7 linked regions of the Mus musculus genome follow. The protein of the gene in region 4 interacts with the protein of the main gene of each other region in a pairwise test. Links are inferred from orthologs where the notes say so. Each region holds a gene or a part of one and is shown on either strand. Other genes may lie near its edges.

The links.
Region 1: the proteins of Khdrbs2 (region 4) and Cirbp interact in binary tests that used the Homo sapiens proteins (3 or more experiments, as listed by UniProt). The two-hybrid records come from large-scale screens. The link is inferred for Mus musculus from reciprocal best matches to the Homo sapiens genes KHDRBS2 and CIRBP.
Region 2: the proteins of Khdrbs2 (region 4) and Ptk6 interact in binary tests that used the Homo sapiens proteins (3 or more experiments, as listed by UniProt). The two-hybrid records come from large-scale screens. The link is inferred for Mus musculus from reciprocal best matches to the Homo sapiens genes KHDRBS2 and PTK6.
Region 3: the proteins of Khdrbs2 (region 4) and Ewsr1 interact in a two-hybrid assay, tested with the Homo sapiens proteins (2 studies listed by BioGRID and IntAct). The two-hybrid records come from large-scale screens. The link is inferred for Mus musculus from reciprocal best matches to the Homo sapiens genes KHDRBS2 and EWSR1.
Region 5: the proteins of Khdrbs2 (region 4) and Prpf31 interact in binary tests that used the Homo sapiens proteins (3 or more experiments, as listed by UniProt). The two-hybrid records come from large-scale screens. The link is inferred for Mus musculus from reciprocal best matches to the Homo sapiens genes KHDRBS2 and PRPF31.
Region 6: the proteins of Khdrbs2 (region 4) and Hba-x interact in binary tests that used the Homo sapiens proteins (3 or more experiments, as listed by UniProt). The two-hybrid records come from large-scale screens. The link is inferred for Mus musculus from reciprocal best matches to the Homo sapiens genes KHDRBS2 and HBZ.
Region 7: the proteins of Khdrbs2 (region 4) and Dock2 interact in binary tests that used the Homo sapiens proteins (3 or more experiments, as listed by UniProt). The two-hybrid records come from large-scale screens. The link is inferred for Mus musculus from reciprocal best matches to the Homo sapiens genes KHDRBS2 and DOCK2.

Annotation. Positions count from the first base shown.
Region 1 is NC_000076.6:80,166,496-80,170,638, reverse strand, and holds the start of Cirbp (cold-inducible RNA-binding protein), read right to left. Parts: upstream 2,801-4,143; 5' UTR 2,723-2,800; intron 2,469-2,722; exon of another isoform or gene 2,222-2,468; intron 911-2,221; exon of another isoform or gene 832-910; 5' UTR 826-831; coding exon 723-825; intron 624-722; coding exon 517-623; intron 438-516; coding exon 299-437; intron 215-298; coding exon 133-214; intron 1-132. UniProt on the Homo sapiens protein: Cold-inducible mRNA binding protein that plays a protective role in the genotoxic stress response by stabilizing transcripts of genes involved in cell survival. Acts as a translational activator.
Region 2 is NC_000068.7:181,197,207-181,199,789, reverse strand, and holds part of Ptk6 (protein-tyrosine kinase 6), read left to right. Parts: intron 1-27; coding exon 28-191; intron 192-559; coding exon 560-713; intron 714-1,248; coding exon 1,249-1,410; intron 1,411-2,583. UniProt on the Homo sapiens protein: Non-receptor tyrosine-protein kinase implicated in the regulation of a variety of signaling pathways that control the differentiation and maintenance of normal epithelia, as well as tumor growth.
Region 3 is NC_000077.6:5,069,187-5,072,141, forward strand, and holds the end of Ewsr1 (RNA-binding protein EWS), read right to left. Parts: intron 2,457-2,955; coding exon 2,334-2,456; intron 1,973-2,333; coding exon 1,810-1,972; intron 1,538-1,809; coding exon 1,440-1,537; intron 1,295-1,439; coding exon 1,042-1,294; intron 936-1,041; coding exon of another isoform or gene 918-935; coding exon 878-917; 3' UTR 501-877; downstream 1-500. UniProt on the Homo sapiens protein: Binds to ssRNA containing the consensus sequence 5'-AGGUAA-3'. Might normally function as a transcriptional repressor. EWS-fusion-proteins (EFPS) may play a role in the tumorigenic process.
Region 4 is NC_000067.6:32,413,722-32,417,221, reverse strand, and holds part of Khdrbs2 (KH domain-containing, RNA-binding, signal transduction-associated protein 2), read right to left. Parts: intron 2,352-3,500; coding exon 2,205-2,351; intron 1-2,204. UniProt on the Homo sapiens protein: RNA-binding protein that plays a role in the regulation of alternative splicing and influences mRNA splice site selection and exon inclusion. Binds both poly(A) and poly(U) homopolymers. Phosphorylation by PTK6 inhibits its RNA-binding ability.
Region 5 is NC_000073.6:3,636,485-3,639,984, forward strand, and holds part of Prpf31 (U4/U6 small nuclear ribonucleoprotein Prp31), read left to right. Parts: exon of another isoform or gene 1-177; coding exon 178-267; exon of another isoform or gene 268-2,146; coding exon 2,147-2,274; exon of another isoform or gene 2,275-2,373; coding exon 2,374-2,446; exon of another isoform or gene 2,447-3,091; coding exon 3,092-3,220; exon of another isoform or gene 3,221-3,304; coding exon 3,305-3,403; exon of another isoform or gene 3,404-3,451; intron 3,452-3,500. UniProt on the Homo sapiens protein: Involved in pre-mRNA splicing as component of the spliceosome. Required for the assembly of the U4/U5/U6 tri-snRNP complex, one of the building blocks of the spliceosome.
Region 6 is NC_000077.6:32,275,383-32,278,616, forward strand, and holds Hba-x (hemoglobin subunit zeta), read left to right. Parts: upstream 1-1,217; 5' UTR 1,218-1,281; coding exon 1,282-1,376; intron 1,377-2,186; coding exon 2,187-2,391; intron 2,392-2,497; coding exon 2,498-2,626; 3' UTR 2,627-2,734; downstream 2,735-3,234. UniProt on the Homo sapiens protein: The zeta chain is an alpha-type chain of mammalian embryonic hemoglobin.
Region 7 is NC_000077.6:34,703,906-34,707,405, forward strand, and holds part of Dock2 (dedicator of cytokinesis protein 2), read right to left. Parts: intron 3,459-3,500; coding exon 3,383-3,458; intron 2,609-3,382; coding exon 2,532-2,608; intron 1,991-2,531; coding exon 1,865-1,990; intron 805-1,864; coding exon 680-804; intron 1-679. UniProt on the Homo sapiens protein: Involved in cytoskeletal rearrangements required for lymphocyte migration in response of chemokines. Activates RAC1 and RAC2, but not CDC42, by functioning as a guanine nucleotide exchange factor (GEF), which exchanges bound GDP for free GTP.

The sequences.
Region 1 (4,143 bases), on a different chromosome or scaffold from region 4:
CAAGAGTTGGTTCTCAGTAGAGAACAAAACCAAACCACCTACACTAGTCTGCCCTTCCCCTGGTGCACCCTCCTCCCAGGCCCAGCTGCCACCACCGAGGCTGAGCCTCCCCAAGGCTCCCATCTGGCTCACCTGGCATAGTAGTCTCTGGAGCCTCCATAACCCCCACTCCGGGACTCAAAGCGGCCACCTCCATAGCCCCGGTCTCCTCCTCCTGTAGATGATCGAGAACAGAGTCAGGGAGTCCCTACTCCTGCTGCAGTGCCACCACCAGCTGCCAAGGCACCCCAGCACTCACCTCTGGAGAACCCTCGGCCCCGGCTTCGTCCCCCACGGAAAAAGCCCCGGCCTCCAGCAGAGCCACCCCGGTATCCTCGGGACCGGTTGTCAGAAGACTTGCCAGCCTGGTCAACTCTGATCTGCCGCCCGTCCACAGACTGCAGGAGAAAGTTAGGGTCACTGTACCCGATTCCACACCAGACCTATCCAAGGTAAATTGGCTGACCTGATCCTCACCTTCCCATTCATAGCCATCATGGCGTCCTTAGCGTCATCGATATTTTCAAAGGTGACAAACCCAAAGCCTCGGGATCGCTGGGTCTCCCTGTCCTTTACCACCACCACTGCAGGAGAGAGACATTAGATGTGCCCAGTCAGCCCTCTGCCCCCCACCCCCACCCCCAAGTAGAAGCCGAGAACAATGATCCTGACCCAAGACTCACCTTCGGAGATCTGCCCATACTTGGAGAAGACCTGCTCCAGCGCCTGCTCGTTGGTGTCGAAGCTGAGTCCTCCCACGAAAAGCTTGCCTTCATCTGATGCCATGGCAGCCTATGCACACACCATAGATGTTTGCCTTAACCACCACCCCTTCCAGAAACTGAAGCCAAATAGCATATTTAAGAATATGCTTTTCAAAAAAAAAAAAAAAAAAAAAAAAAGAGTAACATATTTTATGTGCACTGGTGTTTTGTCTCCATATATGTCTCTGATGCTGTCAGATCTTGGGAGTTAGTTATGAGGTGCCATGTGGGTGTTGGGAATTGAACCTGGGTCTTCTGGCAGGCAGGCAGTGCTCTCAACCCCTGAGCCAACTCTTCAGCCCCCCACATTCTTTGCCTTTAAAAAATTGAGACAGTGTCTCCTTTTATAGTCCAGGATGGCCTTGGAACACCTGTAAGGATAAGTCACTGAAAGCTTTAAGGAGTTAAAGCTGCCTCTTCCCATCCCTTACCTACATATGTATGTATGTATGTATGTATGTATGTATGTATGTATGTATGTATATAAATAAAAGTAACCCACAGCTGGACATGGTGGTATATGCCTTTGATCCCAACACTTGGGAGACAGAGGCAGGCAGATTTCTGTGAGTTTTGAGGCCAGCCTGGTCTGCAAAGAGAGTCCAGGATAACCAGGAGTACACAAAGAAACTGGGGGGGGGGGGCTAGGGGGGAAGCATGGGGGTGGGGGGAGAGGACCCCATGGTCTTACTGGGAAACCTCAGCTTCAAGTGGGGTTTCTTTCACACCTCTCATCCAGCCATTCAAGTCACCGAGATGGGAAGATCAATGAGAAAAAGGACACTGTGGATCAGTTTGAGAGACTGTTTCAAAACAAATACCCATCTCGCCTAGCCTGTGGGAGTTGGAGGCAAAGGAACAGAATCCAAAACCAAATACAATTGCACAGCAAGTTCAATACCCTTCTGGGCTACACAAGAGGGAACTCTTTTTGCTTTTATCATCCCAAAGGCATATGGAATACTTTGTCATACAGCTGAGGCTAACCTTAAATGATTCTAGGTCTTGATTACACCTGGCCAGAGAATCCCAAGGTTAGGATCAAAATGGCATGGTCACTTTGCAAATGTGTGTGGTTGGGGACAGAAATGATAGTGACTGCCTACCCTCACTAGCATAGAGTTGTTGGGCCAGAGAAACTTCACTACTGAAATACGCTTTTAGGGTACTGTCTGGAGGTGTGCCAGTTGTGGGATGCCTCGCTTACTCAGCCAAGGACTAGAGAAATGTTTTTGCACGATGGACTCAAGGGAGAAAGGAGGTTGGCCCAAGAGGCGTGGCTAGCGAAAGGGGCGTGGTATCTAGACAAAGTCATTATTGGCAACCGACAACTTGGAAAATAAGTCCACTATACCACGAAACCAGTCTACCTTGGGGGCAATAAACTTGGGGCACAAAAGGACAACATTCAAGCCTACATGTGCTTTTTTGTTCCCCACGTGGAACCACAAGGGAAGAGAAAACCGAGGTAGAGCCAGCTGGAGTAAAAGGGTCGCACGCGACACAGCTCCACATCTGCGGACAACCGGACTTTGGAGGTAGGAGCGCCCCGCCCCCGGAGCAGCGCATGCGCCAAGCGCGCACCCTGCGCCATTCCATCCGGGCACTCGGCAGTCCCGCCATTTCGCCGGCGAAGCTTTTCAAAGCATCGCGGCGGCCATTTTACAAAAAAAAAAAAAAAAAAAAAAGCCCACCGTTAAGGTCGGCCTCGGCCCGGGGATGACGCGCGGTGGAGGACGCCCTCCGACAAGCGTGAGGCCCCAGTGTCCCGCTGCCCGCCTCGCCGCCGGCGGGGCGGACTCCAACCCGGGCCCGCCCCCAAGTCCCAGGGGCGTGCCGCTGCGGCTCCGCCTCGCCCGAGAGTCACAGGCCGCCCGCCGCCCCGGGCCCCTCAGAGCCGGTGCCGCCAGAGCCCTCACCGCTGAGTCGGGCAGGTCCCTGACGCGAGCGGGAAGACAGCGCGCCACACACACCCAAGCTTCCTAAGGCGCGAGTGCGAGGGGGAGCGCAAGAGTCCCGCCTGATATACTCCACTCCTGGAGCCACGCCCCTTAACCCGCCCACCACGCCGCGCTGACCAATCCGACGCCTTAGATTCGGCATCTGCGCCTCGGTGGAGGGGCGGGACTCCGTTGGCTTTGCCCTAGTCCGCGCGGAGGCGCTGAGTGTTTTGATTGGCTGGAATCTTTCCTGGCCGCATTTTTCCCCCCCACCCCCCGCCCGCTAGCGACTAGGAGGCGGGGACAGCTGATTTGGAGGCGGAGCTGACCCACTTCCGCGTTCCCGACCCGTTTGTCCTGCGGCGGGGAACAAAGAGCTTTTGCTACCTCAATGAGACTCCCAAATATGGCTCCAACCTTGACTCATCGACTCAACACTTTTATGTTCTTTTTTTTCTTTTAATATTTAATTACAGTTATTTAACTGAGGCGCATTTGTGAAGCCAGAAGACAGATGGAGTCTCTCCTTCCATCATGTAGGTCCTAAGGATCATACTCAGGATTAGCCACAAGCAGCTTTATCCACTGAGTCATCTTGCTTGCCCCTCTTCTCCGTTCTTGCTCATGAAACCAAAACCACCGAATTACTCTAGTCCAAAAGTACCTCCCAATACAACTGCTGCCTAACAGTTCTTTGGACCCCAAGGACACTCCATAAGATCAGCCCTAAAATTTCCATCCCAGTATTAATCACAATGTCAAGATTTTCTCTAGATTTCCTGCACCCAACTCAGTTTTCCTACAAATCTCAACCTGCTGTATAACGACCATTTGAACCCTGATTTCTGCCCATCTCCAACCAGGTGTACATTACCACACAGATGGCAAAACACCACTCTTTTCAATGTGTACCTGCATTTTCTAGAAGAGACCCCAGAGTCTCAAGCATGCCATGGAAGGATTTCTATCCTTGAGCCACACCCCTAACCCCTCACTGCAGAATTCTAAGTAGTGGCTAAACCAAGCTACATCCTTAGCCTTCTTAAACACACACACCACAGAGAACAAAACAAAAAAGTGTATTTTAATTTTATGTATATGGGTGTTTGCCTGAATGTCTATGCAGCACTTGCCTATCTTGCGCTGACAAAGACCAGAAGAGAGTGCTGGATCCTTTGGATGCAGAGGTCCAGACAGCTGTGAACCTTTATGTGGATTCTGAGAATTGAACCCACGTCCTCTGCAAGAGCCCTTTACCACTAGGCCATTTGATCCTTTGAGACAACCTACATTTTTCAATCTATCCTTGAAATCCGTAGGCTCACATCCCAAGTAGCTGTGATAACAGACCCATGTCTCCAGGCTACATTTTCTTCTCCCTCCACTGTGGTTTTGAGAGT
Region 2 (2,583 bases), on a different chromosome or scaffold from region 4:
TCTCCTTCCGCCGGCCACCCACCCCAGTCCGGGATGCTCAGGCCGTGCGACATTACAGGATCTGGAAGAACAACGAGGGCCGGCTGCACCTGAATGAGGCGGTATCCTTCTCCAATCTGTCTGAGCTTGTGGACTACCATAAGACCCAGAGCCTGTCTCATGGCCTACAGCTGTCCATGCCCTGCTGGAAGGTAGGCCACTGGCTCCTCTGTGACATAGTTGCCCAGGGTCCTACTGGTAGGGTATAATATGGGGGGGAGGGGATGGGGGCACAGGACAGGGCAATCTCCTTGGCTATTGCTCTTATTACACTGGCTCACCAGAGCTCAGATGTGCTCCTGCTGAGGACCAGTCCCTAACATTGATGGATGAAGACAGCAGCAATTTTATGAGGATATCCAGATACTGGATCTATCTCTAAATTTAAAAAAATAGATAATAAATAATAAATAATAAATAGAGCTCCTCATGAGGGGTTGGAGCAAGCCCTTCCTGAAGACAAGCTGGGCGACCCAGCCCCCATTCCTACCCATTCCTATTGCCCTTTCTGTCTCTCCAGCACAAAACTGAGCCCTTGCCCCACTGGGATGACTGGGAGAGGCCGAGGGAGGAGTTCACACTCTGTAAGAAGCTGGGGGCCGGCTACTTTGGGGAGGTCTTTGAAGCGCTCTGGAAAGGCCAGGTCCATGTGGCTGTGAAGGTGATCTCTAGAGGTGAGCAGGCCCAGGACTAACTCAACATGATCACGTGCTGCTTCCCCACTAGTCCTTCTAGTAGGCACTTCCAGTCTTCCCCCACTGAGGGTATCCCAACACACTTGCTGGGCACCCACAGCATCATGGTGGGAGTAACTTCTTTCAATTGTACCTGGTTTTGTTTTGTTTTGTTTTTTGTTTTTGTTTTTAAACAAGTCACTGGAAATGTGAGTTTCATCTCAAATCCCAACGTCACCCTCAGGTTTATACCTGAAACCTCAAGAATCAGGTCAGCCAGGACTTTGAAAACATCTGGCTGGGAAATGCTGACTTTGGCAATTGTGACCAAGTTGGGCACAGGAGGGCAAATGGACACATCAGTCTTGGGGCACTGAGGGCTCGGGGTGGGGAAGGCTTTAGTGTGGTAGCTTGGAGGCCAGCCTTTGTCTTCCTAGGCTGACCACATTGCCTGACTTGCTTCAGGAGGTCTGGGCCAGGATCCTGTTTGGGGCACAGGTCGAGGGCTATACTCACTGAGGTTGATGTCTCTCAGACAATCTCCTGCACCAGCACACCTTCCAGGCTGAGATTCAGGCCATGAAGAAGCTGCGGCACAAGCACATCCTGTCACTGTACGCTGTGGCGACTGCAGGGGACCCGGTCTACATCATCACGGAGCTCATGCCCAAGGGGAACCTGCTGCAGCTACTGCGTGGTACGTGCAAAGCTCCAGTCTCCTTTCCCGGGTGAAAGTGCTGGAGGCAGCATTTGGAGGCACAGACAGCCTGCTCTCTGAGCTTGAGGCCAGCCTGGTCTACAGAGCAAGCTCCAAGACAGCCAGGGCTACACAGAGAAACCCTGTCTCAAACCTTTCTCCTTTCCCTCCCCAAACCCCCCAAAACCAAAGATATAAAACAATCAAGGAAAGACATGCACATGTACACATGTATACATGTGCACACACCCTTAATAATGAGTACATGCATTACATCACACATGCTACATTGCCTCATACATACAAATCGTTAAAAAAAAAAAAAAAAAACCAATGGTGGGAGAGATGGCTCAGTGGGTGAAGTGCTTGCTAGGCAGGCACGAGGACCTGAGTCTGAGTCCCCAGAACTAGTTAGTGTAAAGGCAAGCACAGGAGTGGGCTTCTGTTACCTGAGTCTGAATCCTCAGAACTAGTTAGTGTAAAGGCAAGCACAGGAGCGGGCTTCTGTTACCCCTAGGCTTCTACGGTGAGATGGGAGGCAATGGGAGAATTCTTGTTTTATCTGGCTCAGTAGCAAACCACAAAACCATCCTGGAACACGTCACTGGTGAAGACTAACACCCGATGTTGTCCTCTGACTTCCACATACATACACACACACATCATACATACATACATAACAAAAGAGACAAGTAAATGGTCTTATTAAGTACAAAAAAAATCTACCAATTGCTGATCATAAAATTTGAAAAAGTACAGAAAAGAACTCTCCCTCACAATTTCTATCCTCACAGTTAGCTGAGGTTACTTTACTATAGGCTTGTGTAGCCTGCTAGTGACTTGCCTTAGCCCACCAGCTTCTCTCTAAATTCTAAATTCTCTCTCTTTCTTTGTGTTTCTCATAAAGAGCTTGATCTCATAAGCAGTTTCTGCAGGAAGAAGTCTCCAGAGATGAAACTCATGCCCCTTGTAGGTGTAGTACTTGCTGGCTGCGCATTATCTAGAGTGTTCAATGGCTACATACCAAGAATATCTTGCAGCAATGCTCTTGACCTTAGATTGCTTTATGATTCCCAGAAAGGGTGTCAGACAAAGAATATGCTCTTTGTCTCTAGGTACATAGCTGCAGAAGGTCTAGGCCTTCCCATTTTGCAATTAAGCCAAGCCAGCTGC
Region 3 (2,955 bases), on a different chromosome or scaffold from region 4:
CCTCTTAAAAAACAAAAAATAAACTGGGCAGTGGTGGCTCATGCCTTTAATCCCAGCAATTGGGAGGCAGAGGCAGGCGGATCTCTGAGTTCGAGGCCAGCCTGGCCTACAGAGTGAGTTCCAGGACAGCCAGGGCTACACAGAGGTTTCTGTCTCGAAAAGACCAAATAAATAAATGAGCTGGGTGGGAAAGCCCCATTTTGAAGTCCGGAAGAAGGCAGCAAAGGACTAGAGTGACCACTTGGCACTGCAGAGGACACGATCAGGTCTGCTATCCCAGCAAAGGCACAGGGCGATCCTGTGAATTCAGATAGTGGGAGTTGGAATGATGATAAGTCATCTCAGAGCCTTCTGGAAGGGAACAAATGACCCAGTAAAGCCAAGAGCTGGAGATGCGAGCACAGGTTTCCAGTGGGCATCTTCGAGGGCATCACAAGCTTCTGCTCCCATCTAGCGAGGGCTGGAAAGAACTGGACATACACGAGAACAGAGGAGGAGGATGACAGTTTATAAACATTTGGAATTTTATTTAAAAAAAAAAATCACAACCATGAACATTGTTACAATTAGAGGCCCTCTTGGTTCTCCACAATGATACTGAGCATGCTCACAAGGGGTTCCCATTGTTAAGTCTTAAAACAACCATCTTAAAAAGGAAAAAAAAAAGAACAAATCAAAAAACAACAACAACAAAAAAAAACTCAGCACACTACTATTTAACTTGTTTTAATGTTTCTTCACAAATGGTGAAAATACTAAAGTACAGACAAGGAATAATCATAATGTTGTCGCCAACATTATAAATATGGAATTATAAATTTAAAACATTTTCTGGTTTAAAAAATAAATCTGGTCGTCAATGCAGCTCTGCAGGTCTCTAGTAGGGCCGGTCTCTGCGTTCCTGACGGTGCTCGCCTCTGCAAAGCAAAGGGACCCTTAGGTCAAAATGAGAAAGGACAGAAAACCCTGTGAGAGACCCCAGACACCCCAGGACTCACTGCAGCAGAGGTTGGGAAGGGGCAGTGCTCTCCCACCACATACTTATCCATTTTCCCAGGTCCTCCACGTCCGCCTCTTCTTCCTCCCATCTGTTCCATTAAAGGTCCAGGAGGCCCCCCAGGACCACCTCGTCTTCCTCCACCAAAGCCACCTCGGTCCATTCCACGGCCACCTCGGAAGCCTCCTCTGTCTCCACCTCTGCCACCTCTGAACATTCCTCCAGGACCACCACGGTCCATGAGTCCTCCTCTTCCTCCTCGCATGCCACCAGGGCCACCTCGTCCACGATCACCACCTAAGGCAGAGACAAGAGTGACAGGTGAGTCAGGAGTAAAAGCCGAGACTGAAGACCTGCTGTGGTAGATCTGCTAATCCTTCTCCTAGAGCAGACACTACTCAATCACCAGGAAGCTGAAGTGCTCCAGAAAACCTGTACCTACCCGGAGGTGGAAAGGGTGGCGGGAGGAAGCCCTCGGGCTTAGGGGCCTTACACTGGTTGCATTCTGTTCTCCAAGCGAAGTTCTGGTTTCCACAGCCCCTGAATAAAGTTATATCACAATAGAAATCACCAAGAGAACTGAGAAAGGTGGAGATTCACACCACACTCTACACAGTTATGGAGTTTCAGGCACAAAGCACAAGGACCTGCAGACAACCCCAGGCCGTCCTGAACCTCCAGAAGCAGTCAGTGCTGAGTGTGTGTCCCCCCCCCCCCCCCCCCCCCCGTCCCGTCCCGTCCCGTCCCGTCCCGTCCCAGAGTGGGAAGAGGGTGTCATCACTAGCACGCAATCTGCTGGGAGAAGTACATACGGATTGGGACACTGCCAGTCTCCAGCTCGGTGCTGGACATTTCCTCCTCCAGAGGGGTTTCCTCTGGAGCCTCGGGGCCCTCTTGGAGGGAAGCCCCCTCTGTCTCCTCCACGGCCTCCCATGCGACCCATGGGTCCTCCAGGGCCTCCTGGGCCACCAGGACCTGCAATAACAAACAGTTCATCACCTCTCTATAGCAGCTTTGTCATGGTGCCCTCTCCTGTAAACTCACAGTGCTATCCACACACTATTCTTTCTGCGTCATTTCATGTAGCCTCCAACTATGGCATTTTCATAGAAGGAAATTGACATCTGGGCAGATGTTCTCTAGAGCTTCCACTCCCTCTAACTAGTTAACCCATATTATTAATGCAGTGTTGGCTTTCAATGGCCTAGTATCAATTTTACATACCTTTTCTTTGTTTATTATTCAACTAAGTTTCTCAAGGGAAAAAAACCAAAACCAACCCAACCCAACCCCGTTTAACATAACAGCACAATAGCTAAAACAAAGTGCCTAATACCTCCACGAAGTGGTGGTGGCATCCCCCTGCCCTCACGAGGTGGCATGCCTCCCCGCATGCTGTTCATTGGAGGCTTCTTTCGGGCAAGAGACACTTTAAGTTTGCTTCCTTGAAAATCTTTCCCTGGAAAAAGATTAGAGAGCATCAGTGAGCCTCACACTCCAAACATCCCTCTCTGAGCAGTCACTTTTCAGCAGACTCCACCTTACTCAACTCCAGACTTCCCGAAGCATGAAACCTGGCCCCTCACAACCTCCAGGCTCTTTCCTGGTCTGGCTGGGAAAGTATCACAGTTGGTAGGCTTGTTTAACACGGCCAAAGGCTTGGGTTCAATCCCCAGCACCACATAAAACCGAGCATGGCAGCCAATTAGCCTAGGACTATAATCTCCACATTTGGGAAGCAGCAGTAGACTGGAGGATCAGGAAGCTCAAAGGTCAGTACTAGCTACAGATGGAGTTTGAGTCAGCCTGGACTACATGAGATTCTTACACAAGCAGAAAGAAAATGAAACAAACAAAACAACTTCACTGCTGAGATGAGAATAAAAGATGTTAAACTACATTCCTGTAATTCTAGAATTTTGCAGGACTGTCAGGTTTAAAAATCAGCCTGCCCACAT
Region 4 (3,500 bases):
AAGACCATTGAAAACCACAGATATTTACATGACAACTATCACAGTTATGAGGTGGGAATGGAAGTAATTTTGTTGCTGGGGTCCACCACAACATGTATAACTGTATAAAAGGTTTGCAGCACTAGGAAAGTTGAATAAACTACTGTGCTAAATGAAGAAGAGATAATGTTGGCTCAGAAATAAATTAACAACCATGACAACCATTTATGTTATAGTGCATACAAAAGAAATGAACTGATTAAAAGGTATGATATATACGACAGGGTTGTGTATCATTTGCATTTACTGTACCAGGGCATGTATTCTATGTTCAAAATATATGCATCAAAGACATACTAAAATGAACATTATATGGGTTGGCAAGGTGCTATTTAGGAATAAAGTAACAATTAGTGAAAATAGAATCAATGAACTTGAAGTAGATGAGGGAGGCATATATGGGAAAATATGAAGGGAGGAAAGGTTATATATCCAAACAAAAAAGACATATTACTATATCTAACACAATTTTTTCCTCAGAAAGTCATCCATTGTTTTTCTACTATGATAAATTTAAAAAGTAAGTTTCTACACTGCTTTCTCATTTTAATCACCTTTTGCCTGCATTATCTTGTTTAATATTCATAAAGGTTATGACTGAATCAATTGTGATTACTTTCGTTTTAAAGATCCATAAACGGATGCTAAACATTTAAATAACTTCGCTAAAACTATACAATGAGTTTGTGATATAAGGAGGCCTGGCCTCACTACACATACATGTATCTGGTCTGGTCTACACTAAGTTGACTAAGATGCCTTACTTATCCTTGTGCTAAAGATTCCCCTGGAAAGCAATGGAAGAAAGAACACAGGATCATCAAGCTATATTATATATAGAGATATATTTCTGGAGGTTTCCAGATGAGACCCAATTAATAACCATGCACATGAAGTTAAAACATACTCAGATTAGTGTGCCATTATTCTGTAATTGTGTCTCGACAAGATTAATGTTTGGATCAGACATATAACCAGAAACTGTCGCTAGGCCTTGCTGTTTTTACACGTAGAAAATTCTATGATACTTTTGGTTTCTGGTTTTCAAAACCACTACAATGAATGAGTTGTAAATGTCACATTCTTTGAAGTTTCTACTGAGTATACAAATCTCCAGTTTCTTCATTTGCAGATTAATCTCAGTGAGGCACTCTCTGAGCTCAGGATTTCTTCAAGATCTTCCCAGGAATGTTACTTGTCATTCTCTCAATATCTCAGCACTGAACCTCATGGCAAGATTTCTGTTGGAGGACCTTTTCCTAGAATGTGCACAATTTTCATCTTTAAGACTCCATGCATTTACCTCCTCCTACTTCTTAAATATCAGTAGAGAACTCCATTCAATTTGCAGTTGAATTGGCAGGTGAGCATCCTCTATTACTCTAATACTGAATAATGAGTTTATATTTGTAATTTTTAGGTTAATATTTATTTGCCATCATTAATATAAACTTATGCTCTGTTTTGTATCAGCCAGCACCTGACATACTATCACCTAAAAATCATTTACTATTTGAAAGTACTATTAATGGCTTGTTATAAATAATATTCAATCCCATCCTCTTTTTACTGTACTTTTGTTTTCCAATTATAAACATGTTACATGTTAAGGCCTTCAAACAGGGAAAGGTGGCTTCAATAATGTATCTTTTTCTTATTCTTTCTAGCTGTGGACTGGTGTATACTTTGTAACTGATTGGTGATGAATACTTTTGTCAGATTAGTTGACAATGTCAACAAGACAGGTCTTCCAGTATGTACCTTGTATTATCGACTCTACACATGGATAACTAAAGAGCCTTGAACTCATTGGCACAGGTGGGAATTTCCTAAACAGAACTCTAGTGGCTCAAGCTCCAAGATTAAGAACTGATAAATGGGACCTCATGAAACTGGAAAGATTATATAAGGCAAAGGACATAGTCAATAGGATAAACTGGCAACCTACAGATTGGGGAAAAATCTTCACTAACCTCACATGCGATAGAAAGCTAATATCCAAAATATGCTAATATCCAAAATATATAAAGAACTCAAGAAGCTAACCTCCAAAAAAAAAAAAAAAAAAAAAAACAAACAATCCTTTCAAAAATCAATGAAGATCAAAGACACAACTTAAAATAGAAACTGATGAGAAACCATTTGTAAAATCAAAAGTCACTTACAGGAACCAGGAATTTTTTAATCTCTTCCAAGGCATGACTCATCCGTGAATAAGCTTCCCCGGGTGGAGCAAACACTTCAATTAATACATGCAGCTCATCACTCAGGTGGGCATACTTGGCCTCCCCACTCTTCCTCAGCTCTTCTTCCTGTGAAGAAGTTATATTTTGACATATGGATCCACTCATTTTGCATTAATTTAACATTTCTTGAGAACATGACAAAGGGCTACCATGTAAGCAAATTTTCCAAAGGGAGAAAGAAATTCTTTGAGAAATAAATATCTGCTGCAAGACAGTTAACCATTTTCAAATCATTTTCAAATTTGGATTTTTAATGGCACCTGCCATTGTCCTCAGCTGCACAATTTTTAACCAGTTTAATGAAATGTTAACCTTGTGAGGGTGAGACATTTAAGTGATGTTTATTCTTGTACAAACATCACTGCATTTTTTGAGGACAAGGTTCTTTTTTTATCTGATGTAAAGTACTTTTCAAATAATAAGTAGATGACCATTGAGTTGCACAGGAAAATCCATTTTAATATTTGCAGAAATTACATGAAATATTGGTGGGAAACAAGGGCTCATCTTTCATGCAGTTCCCCCACTGCCAAAATATCACAGAGAAATACAAGAAAAAAAAGACAATACTTTTAGAATTTCAAATTGGACAAACTTTGCTTAAGAAATATAAAGAGCTAGGAAGTACCTTTCAAAATAATCACATTTATAGTCATTAGGGAAACAAAAATCAGAACTACTTTAAAATGCCATCTGACTCCAGTCAGAATGGCCATTGTTGTGATTGCAATGCCAACACTGTGTGTGTTGTTGTGATAAAGGTGAAATATTTTACACTGTTGGTTTGAGTGAAAGCTAGTGTAGCTACTCTGGAAATCAGACCAGAATTTTCTCAAAAACTAGAAGTGCCATATGTCCCGATATTCTAGGCCACACCCAAGGACTTTCTATCATTACAGGGACACTTCCACTGGCACTCTTTTGGCACTAGCTGAAAATGTACCCAACCTAGACATTCAAAAACAGATAAGAAGGTAATAAAAATATGGTATATATAGCAATATAATTCAGCTGTATTGATAACCAAAATAGCCTAATTTTCAGGTAACTAGATAGAACAGGAAAAGATCCTAATTTCTGAAGCCATGAAGGACAAAGGGCACCAGTTCCCTCTCATAAGTGGATTCTTATTTCAGGTCTTTTGTTTTCCATATTTAAGTTGCAGCCCAGGTAGAAGTCATGGAAACTCAGAAAAAAAAAAAGGTATTAGCAAGA
Region 5 (3,500 bases), on a different chromosome or scaffold from region 4:
GGAAACTGGGGGGCAGCCAGAGTGTACCCCTCAAGAGGCTGTTATTAGAAGAGCCCACGGGTATGAGGCTTACCTCCCAGAGTCTGGGGTATGGCTGCCCTAGATGAGGAGTGACTATTGTAGTGGCTGTTACCTTCTCTAGAGGTTCAGTTTCCTTTCTCCTTGCCATTGCTCCAGGATCTCCGGCGGAAGGCGGCCCGCCTAGTGGCTGCCAAGTGTACACTGGCAGCTCGTGTGGACAGCTTCCATGAGAGCACAGAAGGGAAGGTGAGGAGAGGACAGGCATCTGTCCCTGGTGCTTGGGGTCTTTTCATGGGAAGATGCTACTTCAGAGACCTCTTCTGACTAGCAGACAGATGTGTCTGTCTGCAACCCCTACTGAGGCCATCACATTCTCAGCTCTGTATCAGTTATGACAACTCACTATAGATGGAGTAGCTTCATATAAAAGTTGGCTAGGCCTCTTTAACATCAATACTTGAGAGACAGAGGTGGGAAGATCATTAGTTTGAGGCAGTCTGGGTTATATAAGTTTCAGGCCAGACTGGGCTGCATAGTGAAATCCTGTGTTTGAAAAGAAAAAAAGCCCAGGGCTGGAGATGCGGCTCCATCACTTCAGTTCCTGCATGCAAGCATGAGAACTTGAGTTCAATTCCTAACTCAGGTTAAGGGAAAAAAGAAAGCAGGCAGAGTACTTCACATCAGTAACTAACCCCAGCTCTGGGAAGGTGAAGGCAGGAGGGCATTTGGAGCTTGTGGGCCTGGCAACCAAATCAGTAAGTTCCAGTGAGAGACCCTGTCTCAGGAGATAGGTGAGGTGTTGGTGTAGAAGCCATGATACCAGATCTTTGGCTTTTTGTGCAAAGATCCTCTGCCATGTAAAATGTAGTCACAGATCCTAGAGACCAGGACACCTGACACCAAGGTGTAGCCCTGTGTTGGAAGGGACAGTATTTTGCCTACCATAGTAGGACCTGTCCTGTACTAGCAGGGACATGATTCCAGTGATACCATCTATTTTTCTGTGTGGGCTTAAGAAACAATACTGTGTGCATTTCCCTGCTAGAAATTACATCATAGCCCAGGTCAGAGGTTCAGTCTTTGGTTTTGCCTTTTGCCACTTTCTAAACAAGGCAGTACAGCAGGGGGTTATATAGATGTCAAAGGTCTGCCTCAGTGGCTTTTGTGTGTGTGTGGTGGGTATACTGGGATTGAACCTAGGACTCTACGTGTTCTAGACAACTGATCTGTACCACTGAACATACATCTATAAGATCTATACATCCTCAGCTCACCCTCACCCTTTTGTGAGACATGTCTTATCTCTAGTCCAGGAAAGCCTTGAACGAGTTTTGATCCTCCTGCTCCAGCTGCTAGCTAGGATTGGAGGTTGCTGTGTCACACAGCATTTATGTTCTAGCTGGGACCAAAACAACTAGGCAGTAGTTCTGAAAAGTCTGTAGTGGGTTCAGTGGTGCTTTGTGAATGCCAGGGGCAATCAGGGGGGCTGTGGGGTTAGGAAGCTTAGACTCTGATGACAGAGAATGTGAAGAAAAACTTCTGAGGACGTTTTAATTTGGGCTTGAGTGAAGTTATAGTCAGTCGTGTGGCTACTTGTGCTATCCACTTGGAAGAGTGCTCCAGACAGAGTGAATAGTGAGTACAAAGATCTTGAGGCCAGAGTTGAGTGAACCCCAGCAGGGAGAGGAGCCTTCTGCTTCCAGGAGCAGATAATGTGTACAACCTTTGAGGGCCTCTGGCTGCTGTAGAGGCACTGAGAAGCAGGCTAGCTGGGGTCTGTTCTAAGAGGCCAGGGGGATCTGTGGTGTGGAAGTAAGGCAGTGGAGATGACACGCTGTCTGTTGACTAGAGAATACAGGGATTCTGCCTGGCCCAGGACTCAGACAGAGACAATTATCCAGAGGGTGCAGAGCTTAGATATGAGGACTGAACCTGAGCTACAAGTTCAAGGAGCACTAGGCACTGGAACCCACAGAGCACCATTCCTGGACAAACGTGAAGAACATGTCTTGGGGAGGGCACACTGTCAGGTGGTCAGATACACAATAGATGGGTTGATGATATATAGATGTTGGCTGAGGGGACAGTTTACATGGCTGGCCACCGCTTCTCAACTCCCCCCTAGGTGGGCTACGAACTAAAGGATGAGATTGAGCGCAAATTTGATAAGTGGCAGGAGCCACCACCCGTGAAGCAGGTGAAGCCCCTGCCTGCACCCCTTGATGGGCAGCGGAAGAAGCGAGGGGGCCGAAGGTAAGGAGTTCTGATGGGGCTAGACGTTTGGAAGTGGGGAAGGGAAACAACTTCTTCCCAGCCAGCTCCCTATATCCTGTTAACACCCACTTGCCCTAGGTACCGCAAGATGAAGGAACGGCTAGGACTGACGGAGATCCGGAAGCAGGCCAACCGCATGAGCTTTGGAGAGGTCAGGCTTGATCCACAGTACCAGTGGGACCATATTAGGGTCTTCTCTCTGCACATCCTGCTGCCATCCCTCCTCCCCACCCTGTAATCTGAGAGCAGATCTGGGGCTACCCAACCCTCCTCCCTCTTGTCTAGCCTCTCCTCTTAAACCACCTTCTCCATGGTGATCTTTGCAGCTCTCAGCTGGCTGGCTTCCCACGCAGCTCTCCAGGCTGCTTCTATATCTGACTGTCATCTAGGTGGTCCTGAAAGAATCCGCTTAGGTGCCACCTCAGTAGCGCGGCTCATCCCAATTCTTGGCAACTTAATGTGGATGTAGAGAAAAAATGGCTACTCTACTCAGGTCAGGAACCAGTTCTTCCCAGGGTTCCTAGCTATACCCAAACAGAGGTAGGATAGGCTCTTGTTTTTGTTTTTGTTTTTTCTTTTCTGAGACAAATGTGAAGCGAGCTTTAATTACATACTGCTAAGGATGATGGACTCTGGCCAATAGGGTAGGCTCTTATTAGGTCACTTAATGCTGCCAGTCCCCTGGCTGATGAGGTGGTGTCCATGAGACTGGCTGATTGGGTTCTCAGGTGACTGCCTCAGGGGACTGGCTGGATGTACCCAGCTTCTTAACCGCAGGTTGCTCTCGTCTCACCAGATTGAGGAGGATGCCTATCAGGAAGACCTGGGCTTTAGCCTGGGCCACTTGGGCAAGTCAGGCAGTGGGCGTGTGCGGCAGACCCAGGTGAATGAGGCCACCAAGGCCAGGATCTCCAAGACACTGCAGGTATGGATTGGGCCCATGAGAATGGGAGGCAGGTGGGATATGGAGGTCAGTGAGCCTGGATCCCAGCCTCCCCTTTCCCTACAGCGGACCTTACAGAAACAGAGCGTGGTGTATGGTGGGAAGTCAACAATTCGTGACCGCTCCTCAGGGACTGCCTCCAGTGTGGCCTTCACTCCACTCCAGGTACCATACCCTTTTCTACCAGGCATATGATAAGGCTGCTGTGGAGATCTGTTGAGATATAGCACATGAGCTTAGGCATCCACAACCACACAGTAAG
Region 6 (3,234 bases), on a different chromosome or scaffold from region 4:
TCTATAAATCACTGGTAAGAAAATGGCCCAGTTGAAATGTGCACAAGGTACCTTTTATAGGTAGACAACGTGCTTGAGCAGAGACAATACCAAAGATGAAAAATAGGCACCCAGAGAGATCTTCCATCACTGGCCATTGGAAAAATTCTGTTTTCAGCCACCATGCTATATCATTACTTACCTATCCAACAGCTAAGATTCAAAAAAGGCTGGCATTGATACATAGGAATATAAAGTAGTAAGGACACTCATGAAAATGGTTTGGCAATTCTTTATAAGATTAAATATACACCTTGCATATGCCAGGAATTCTACTCTTAGATACAGATGTATCAACTGACACAGATATAGAGAAATAGAATTGTAAGCTCACACAGAGGTCTCTCTGTGAATGTGGACGAAGGACAAACTGCTGCATATTCATACCACAAAATAAAAAGTAGCCAACTACTGGTGAATACAAAAGCAGATGGATCTACAGGATATTATACAAGGGGAAAGAAAGCCAGTCTTAAAAAGGTAAAATATGGTATGATTCCAGTTACACACATTTTTGAAAAGGATGAATTAGGTTAGGTTAGGAGCAAGAGGAAGATGAGGGCTCCAAATGGGTGGCTGTGGAGTTTTAAGATGGTGGAGCTACATAGATCTATATATGTGTCAGTCCAGGACAATGAGCAAACCAACCTATCTCCATGTTAAGATAAAAACTAAGAGAACTGTGCATTTCATTGTATATTGGTTGGTATGGAGGGCTAGCTGGAGACTGGAGATCTTTTGTTGACCCGTTACTCCTCCTAGTGAGAGCAGACTTCCATGATCTTCCCTCAGTGCTAAGTGAGAGGAATTACTGCTTCCTTGGAGGGAACCCAAGAGTCACTGACATTAGGTGACAGGGATGGCTCAGACAATTTGTGATTCTGAAATGAGAAAGGACAGTGCAGGTCTGGATACAAGAATGACCTCCTGACATGGCTGGGCCCCTATCTCTCCTGGATTCTGTGTGGGACTAAGGCCAACACCCCTCCTAAGGCCATGGGCAGTGGGCAAGAGCGATAGCACTTGCCCTTACAGTCCCACCAAGCCCTAATTCCCATTGTTGCTGGCTCTGATAACAGGCTCCACCCTGCAAGCCCCCTCCCCTCTCCTAACCAGTGGCCACAGCCTGACAGGTCCCTGACCATGTGTATATAAAGGAGACACTGGGGACAAGCACCATCAGGCCAGTCTTGAGTGCACTCAACTCCAGCGCAGCCTCCAACCCTCACCACCACCACCACCATGTCTCTGATGAAGAATGAGAGAGCTATCATCATGTCCATGTGGGAGAAGATGGCTGCTCAGGCCGAGCCCATTGGCACTGAGACTCTAGAGAGGTAAGTCCAGGCACCATGGCTTGAGTAAGCAGGTCAGAAGAGGGATTGGTGAGACAGAAGTGACAAAGAGCAGTTAGTGAGGAGAAGCCACTGAGAAGGGGTCATGAGGACAGTATGGTCAGGACAGTAAGGACAGAGGCAGAGAGGACAACGTGGAGAGGACTGAGAGATCAAAGCTTGTGAGGAGGGGATCCAGGCAGGCAGACAAGCTGCTAAAGGAGGTGGGCTGGCATTCACAGAGCTCACCAGAGTCTTCCATGTGGCTCCTCAGGTATTTGTTGAGTGAATAGGAATGAATGGATGAATAAACAGCTATAGGTGGATAGAGAGTGAGTGGATACAGAGTGGATACAGGGATCTGCCATGTAGACCCTTGTGCAATAGGAAATAGTAACATCGCTCTTGGGGTTGTTTTTAAAAGATTTTGTGTGTGTGTGTGTGTGTGTGTGTGTGAGAGAGAGAGAGAGAGAGAGAGAGAGAGAGAGAGAGAGAGAGCGAGAGAGAGCGCAAGCGTAGGTGCCATTAGAAGCTAGAGGCATCAAATCCCCTTGCATCTTAGTTACGGACAGTAGTGCATTCTCTCCAGGGCAGTAAGTGCCATCTCTCCGAATGCTTTTTGTATTATTCAATGTACATTTTTTTGCATTTCATTTCCTTAAATACTATGTAAACCACTACTTTGTTTTCTGTCTGGTAGGTCTTTAAATTTGTATATCCCTTACATTTTGAGCCCAAGGCAAGAGCCAGTGTCCTAGCCCTCTCCCTAACCAATACTTACTTGTAAAACTAACGCTTTCTCCCGGCCCCTAGGCTCTTCTGCAGCTACCCCCAGACGAAGACCTACTTCCCCCACTTCGACCTGCACCATGGGTCTCAGCAGTTGCGGGCCCACGGCTTCAAGATCATGACCGCCGTAGGGGATGCGGTTAAGAGCATCGACAACCTCTCTAGTGCTTTGACTAAGCTGAGCGAGCTGCATGCCTACATCCTGCGTGTGGATCCGGTCAACTTCAAGGTGGGTTTATGAGAAGGGAGGGAGAGGTCAGCAGAGAAAGAGACAAGGAAAAAAAGCGGGTGGGGTCTCTGCTGCACTGAGCACTGAAATTCCCTTCCCTCCGCAGCTCCTGTCCCACTGTCTGCTGGTCACAATGGCCGCACGCTTTCCCGCCGACTTCACCCCTGAGGTCCACGAAGCCTGGGACAAGTTCATGTCTATCCTGTCTTCTATCCTGACTGAGAAGTACCGCTAAGCTCCACCGCCACGACCCCCATGACCAGCTATGATCCCTCTCCTCCCCTTTATTGAACCCTCCCTCAGGTCTTTCCCTGAATCCCTAATAAATGGTTGAAGAAGGAAATAACTGGTCCTGTGTATTCGGTCTCAGAGGGAAACAGGGATGGGGACACTACGGGATGCACTGAGGTTGGCAGGAACACTGCGGTTATGCACTGCCTAGAGGACATTCCTAAGGTGGCTAGGGGAGGGTCTGGAGAACCCCAGAGTCACAGCTGGCCAGAAGCAGAGCCGCCCACAGTCAGACCTGCCTGCGACTGGAGTTCTCACCTTCCCAAATCGCTTCGCACAGTGTGGTGGGTGGGCGTCAGGTATTCCTCAAAGTCTGATGTCATAACTTCTGCCACCCTGGCAGGTAGGGGGTGTCCCTGTCCCTAAAGGATAAGAAGACTTCCGGTAACTGTCTTCATAGGAGTCATTACAGGTTCTGCGAGTTCAAAGCGAAGGCTCGCACTCACACGACTTAGTCTATGACAGAAGTCCCATCCTTTGGCCTCTCTCTGGGCATGTTTCTGCGGACACGCGAAGGGCTCTGTGTTTCTGCTGAGTTCAGCGAATCAAGGC
Region 7 (3,500 bases), on a different chromosome or scaffold from region 4:
ATGATCTCATTTTCAGCTAAATATTCAGAGAGGAAGAATTCAGAAGCAAACCCTCCCACACACTGGACACAAGTGCTGACAACCTTAAAGGAAACATAAGCAAATAGATATAAACACACATGACAACGATTGCACAGGACATATGCTCTGTAAATAGAACCATGTGCTTTGCCTTTTTGAATGCATGCTGCTAACCCTCTGGAGACCAATTTGCGAATAAGACTTTCCACCTAGATTTCTGGGTGAGCGCTGCGGAGTTGGATTTAGTGCTGAGGATGTCTGCTTTGAAGACATTCTGAACCTCCACACCAGCCCAGGGCTCTGTATTGATCTTTACCATGGATTTTGCCTGAATTAAACTAGCTTGGGCTTCAATGAAAACAACATTTTTAACTACAAAAAAAGATAACCTATAAACAAGAGTGGGCACACATACACACACACTTATACACATACACACAGACACAGATTAGGAAAGTATACATTGAAGAATGCTTAGGTAAAAAGACTAATTAACATAGGTTCTAATTAGACCCTAGAACAAGGTATTAAGCAAGCTACACAGTATAGATCATGTGTTTCAATGTCTTCCCCAAAACTCTGATCCTTCAGAGAGCAGATAATTATGATCAGTCCCTCAGCCCCGGGTCCTGTCACTCAGCACTCTGGAGTCCCTTACAGGTAGCACTTTGCCATCCTCTGTGCACACACACATGATCACTTCCACGTTCCGCTGTGTGGTCTTGGTGTACTTGTCAAAGTCACCTTGTAAGAGAGTGATGTAGATGTCGTTCCTGACATCCCCTAAGGATGGAGAGAAGACCAGAGTTAGAGTCAGGCACTAACCACAGAGGTGGAGGGGACAGGGAGAAGCAGGAAGGACCATTAATAAAATGAAAATCCGAGCAGTTTAGAAAGGGCATTTTTTTTAACCTGACAGGAGGGATGGAGATGTAAGTAGCAAGGGAGGGTCGGAATGCTGGAAAAATCAGCAGCAGAAAGCCAGGTGGGGTGCTCAAAACTGGCCATGTTTTCTCTGTTCAAACCATTGCATTTCCATCCTCTAGTGACACCTTCTGGGAAGGTAAAGGAAAGCACCAAGCGAAATGAGCTTGGCCCTCAACCACGGATAGGCCTTTTTGTTGCACAAAAGTAGGGTTGAGGGATTTCCCATGAATCCTAGAGTCTAAGGGTGAAGGGCCAGGAGCACAGGTTGAGTGAGCTCCCGAAGGGAGTGAACAGCAGACATTGAGATCTCAAGTAAAGCAGATATCATTAAATCACAGTACAGGCCCCACCCTGGACCACCACCACTTAGCTACAGGAGAGAAAAGGATGAGTCAGAGGGCGTGTCATTACACAATCTGCCTCATGAAAAGCCTCAAGCATGTCTTGAATGCACTAATAGGCATGGTTAGTTAATAGGAGAGGCACAGAGAGACTTGCGGGGACTTCTGAATACCTTGTATGGCGTTTGGACATGTTACTGTAAGCATGGGTCCTTCAGACTATAAAATATGCTCTAAAAGCTGGAGAGTAGCACCACTCCGCCCCCCCCCCCCCGAGTAAAATGGGATCTTGGTATGAATAGTAAAACAGAGATGCCACCCGTGAGCTTCTGACTGACAAAGCAAGTTGCAGAGCTCCAAAAATGCTTATTAAAGTAGCGGTGCCTATAAAGAAGGACTGGGAGAAAGGGGATCTATGTTACTGTATGGGAAAACATGGTTTGCAGTGGTTTTGTTCAGGTAGAGGAATAAAGTAAAGGGAGTTGACTCTTAGGAAATTATGAACTACACAGCTGGACTCCTCAGCCCTGCTCATGGCCCTGCCCTTGAGGAAGGTCACTGCAGCTGTGTCCCACCTGGCATGATGATCTCTGGGAAGCCCAGCTTTCGGGCTACCACAGTGGTCCTGTCCACCAAGTGTGGGTAGTCTTTACGGATCTGAATGATGTCCCCCACCAGCATCTTCATGGTCACCCAAAGGCCTGGAAGGGAACACATGAACATTCAGCTTCTGTCTCTCTGTCTCTCTGTCTCTGTCTCTCTTCCTCCTCCTCCTCCTCTTCCTCCTCCTCTTCCTCCTCTTTCTCCTCCCCCTCCCCAATTTCCTCTCCTCCATCTCTCCTATAGGAGACTACTGAAATAACAGATACATTCACAGATGCAACAGGCCAACCCCAGGGGCTCTGGGCAACGTTCACTTATAGCTGGGTCAGCCTCTGACAGTTATTACAATCTCTGCACCCGAGTCTCCTAAAGCAGAGAGGATACCAGCTCATGTATCCCAGGACTTGGGTAAGGATGAAACCACTTGTAACTTAAAGGGCAGCACACAGGAGAGAGCAACTCCTCACTGTCACTTATGAAAGGAATGCCCATCCCATGCTTCCATGGGTGGTCTACAGACCACATGCTTCCCACTGTACTGTCTAGTCCAGGACTTGGACCCATTTACTGATGTCGCAGAGGCTCCTGAGCTGCAGCAAGTTTATCGTACTTGGACTCTGTATGATGGTGACTCCATACCTTGCCCTCCACTGTCTCCCTTGGAAGCTATGACTTTGCCCAGAAGGCTGTGAAGGAAATCGTTCTCAGCTGAGACCCTAGGAAGGAAAAGAGAGCACAAATGTTCCTGCTTTGCCCGATGGGAAGCTCCATCTTGTGTCCTAGATTTCCACATGGGAGATATCTAGCACCACTTAGGTGCAAAGTGAGCCTTCCATGTCAGCTCAGAGAAAGCAACACCCTCTTCACAAACAGTATGGCTCTGCGATTTGAGGCAACCAATGACTGCCACAGTCGTAGGCATTCATGTGACAGGAGAGATCGCTACGGCTCTGACATGAATGTCTTCTCTGGAAGGTAACAAGGACTTCAGTAGCTCCGGAAGACCTAGTCACTCACCTTTGGCTAGAGTCACTGGCTCCATTACCTGGAGATCTTTGTGGTGCTCAATCTTGACACTGCTCTCAACATGGGTCATTTTCAAGCAAAAAAAAAATTATAATTACCTCCTTGGTTGCCCCTGCTTCTCATGTCACAAATATATATGTGGCTTCCACAAAGGGCTCCCAATAGGCTGCTCCTTCACACTCTGTGGTCCCTGCTACACTTGTAATTAATGCCTTAAGCTTTGGTTGATTATCTGCTTAATTACCCATCTGAAGTATAAGCAGGGTCACATTGACCTTGTCTACTACTTCACCCCTGAGCCTGGCACTCTTCCTCTGGCTGCAGTAGAAGTTTCTGGATCATTAGCATGTCAGGGTGCCCTCTTTGGAGGCCCACCTACCCCCTTACTAAGAGGAGGAACAAGTTCACCCAGGGCAGCAGTAAGAGTAGGGTGGACAGCCTGGAGCCACACGGGAGTGACTTACGGGTGAAATGGAATAAAATGTTGCTTCTCTTCGTCGCTCTCTGCCTTGCCCTTGATGATGTCGGTGATGTCCATAACTAGAAAGACAGAGGAAGTGAACGGATGTTAGTTCAGCCAGG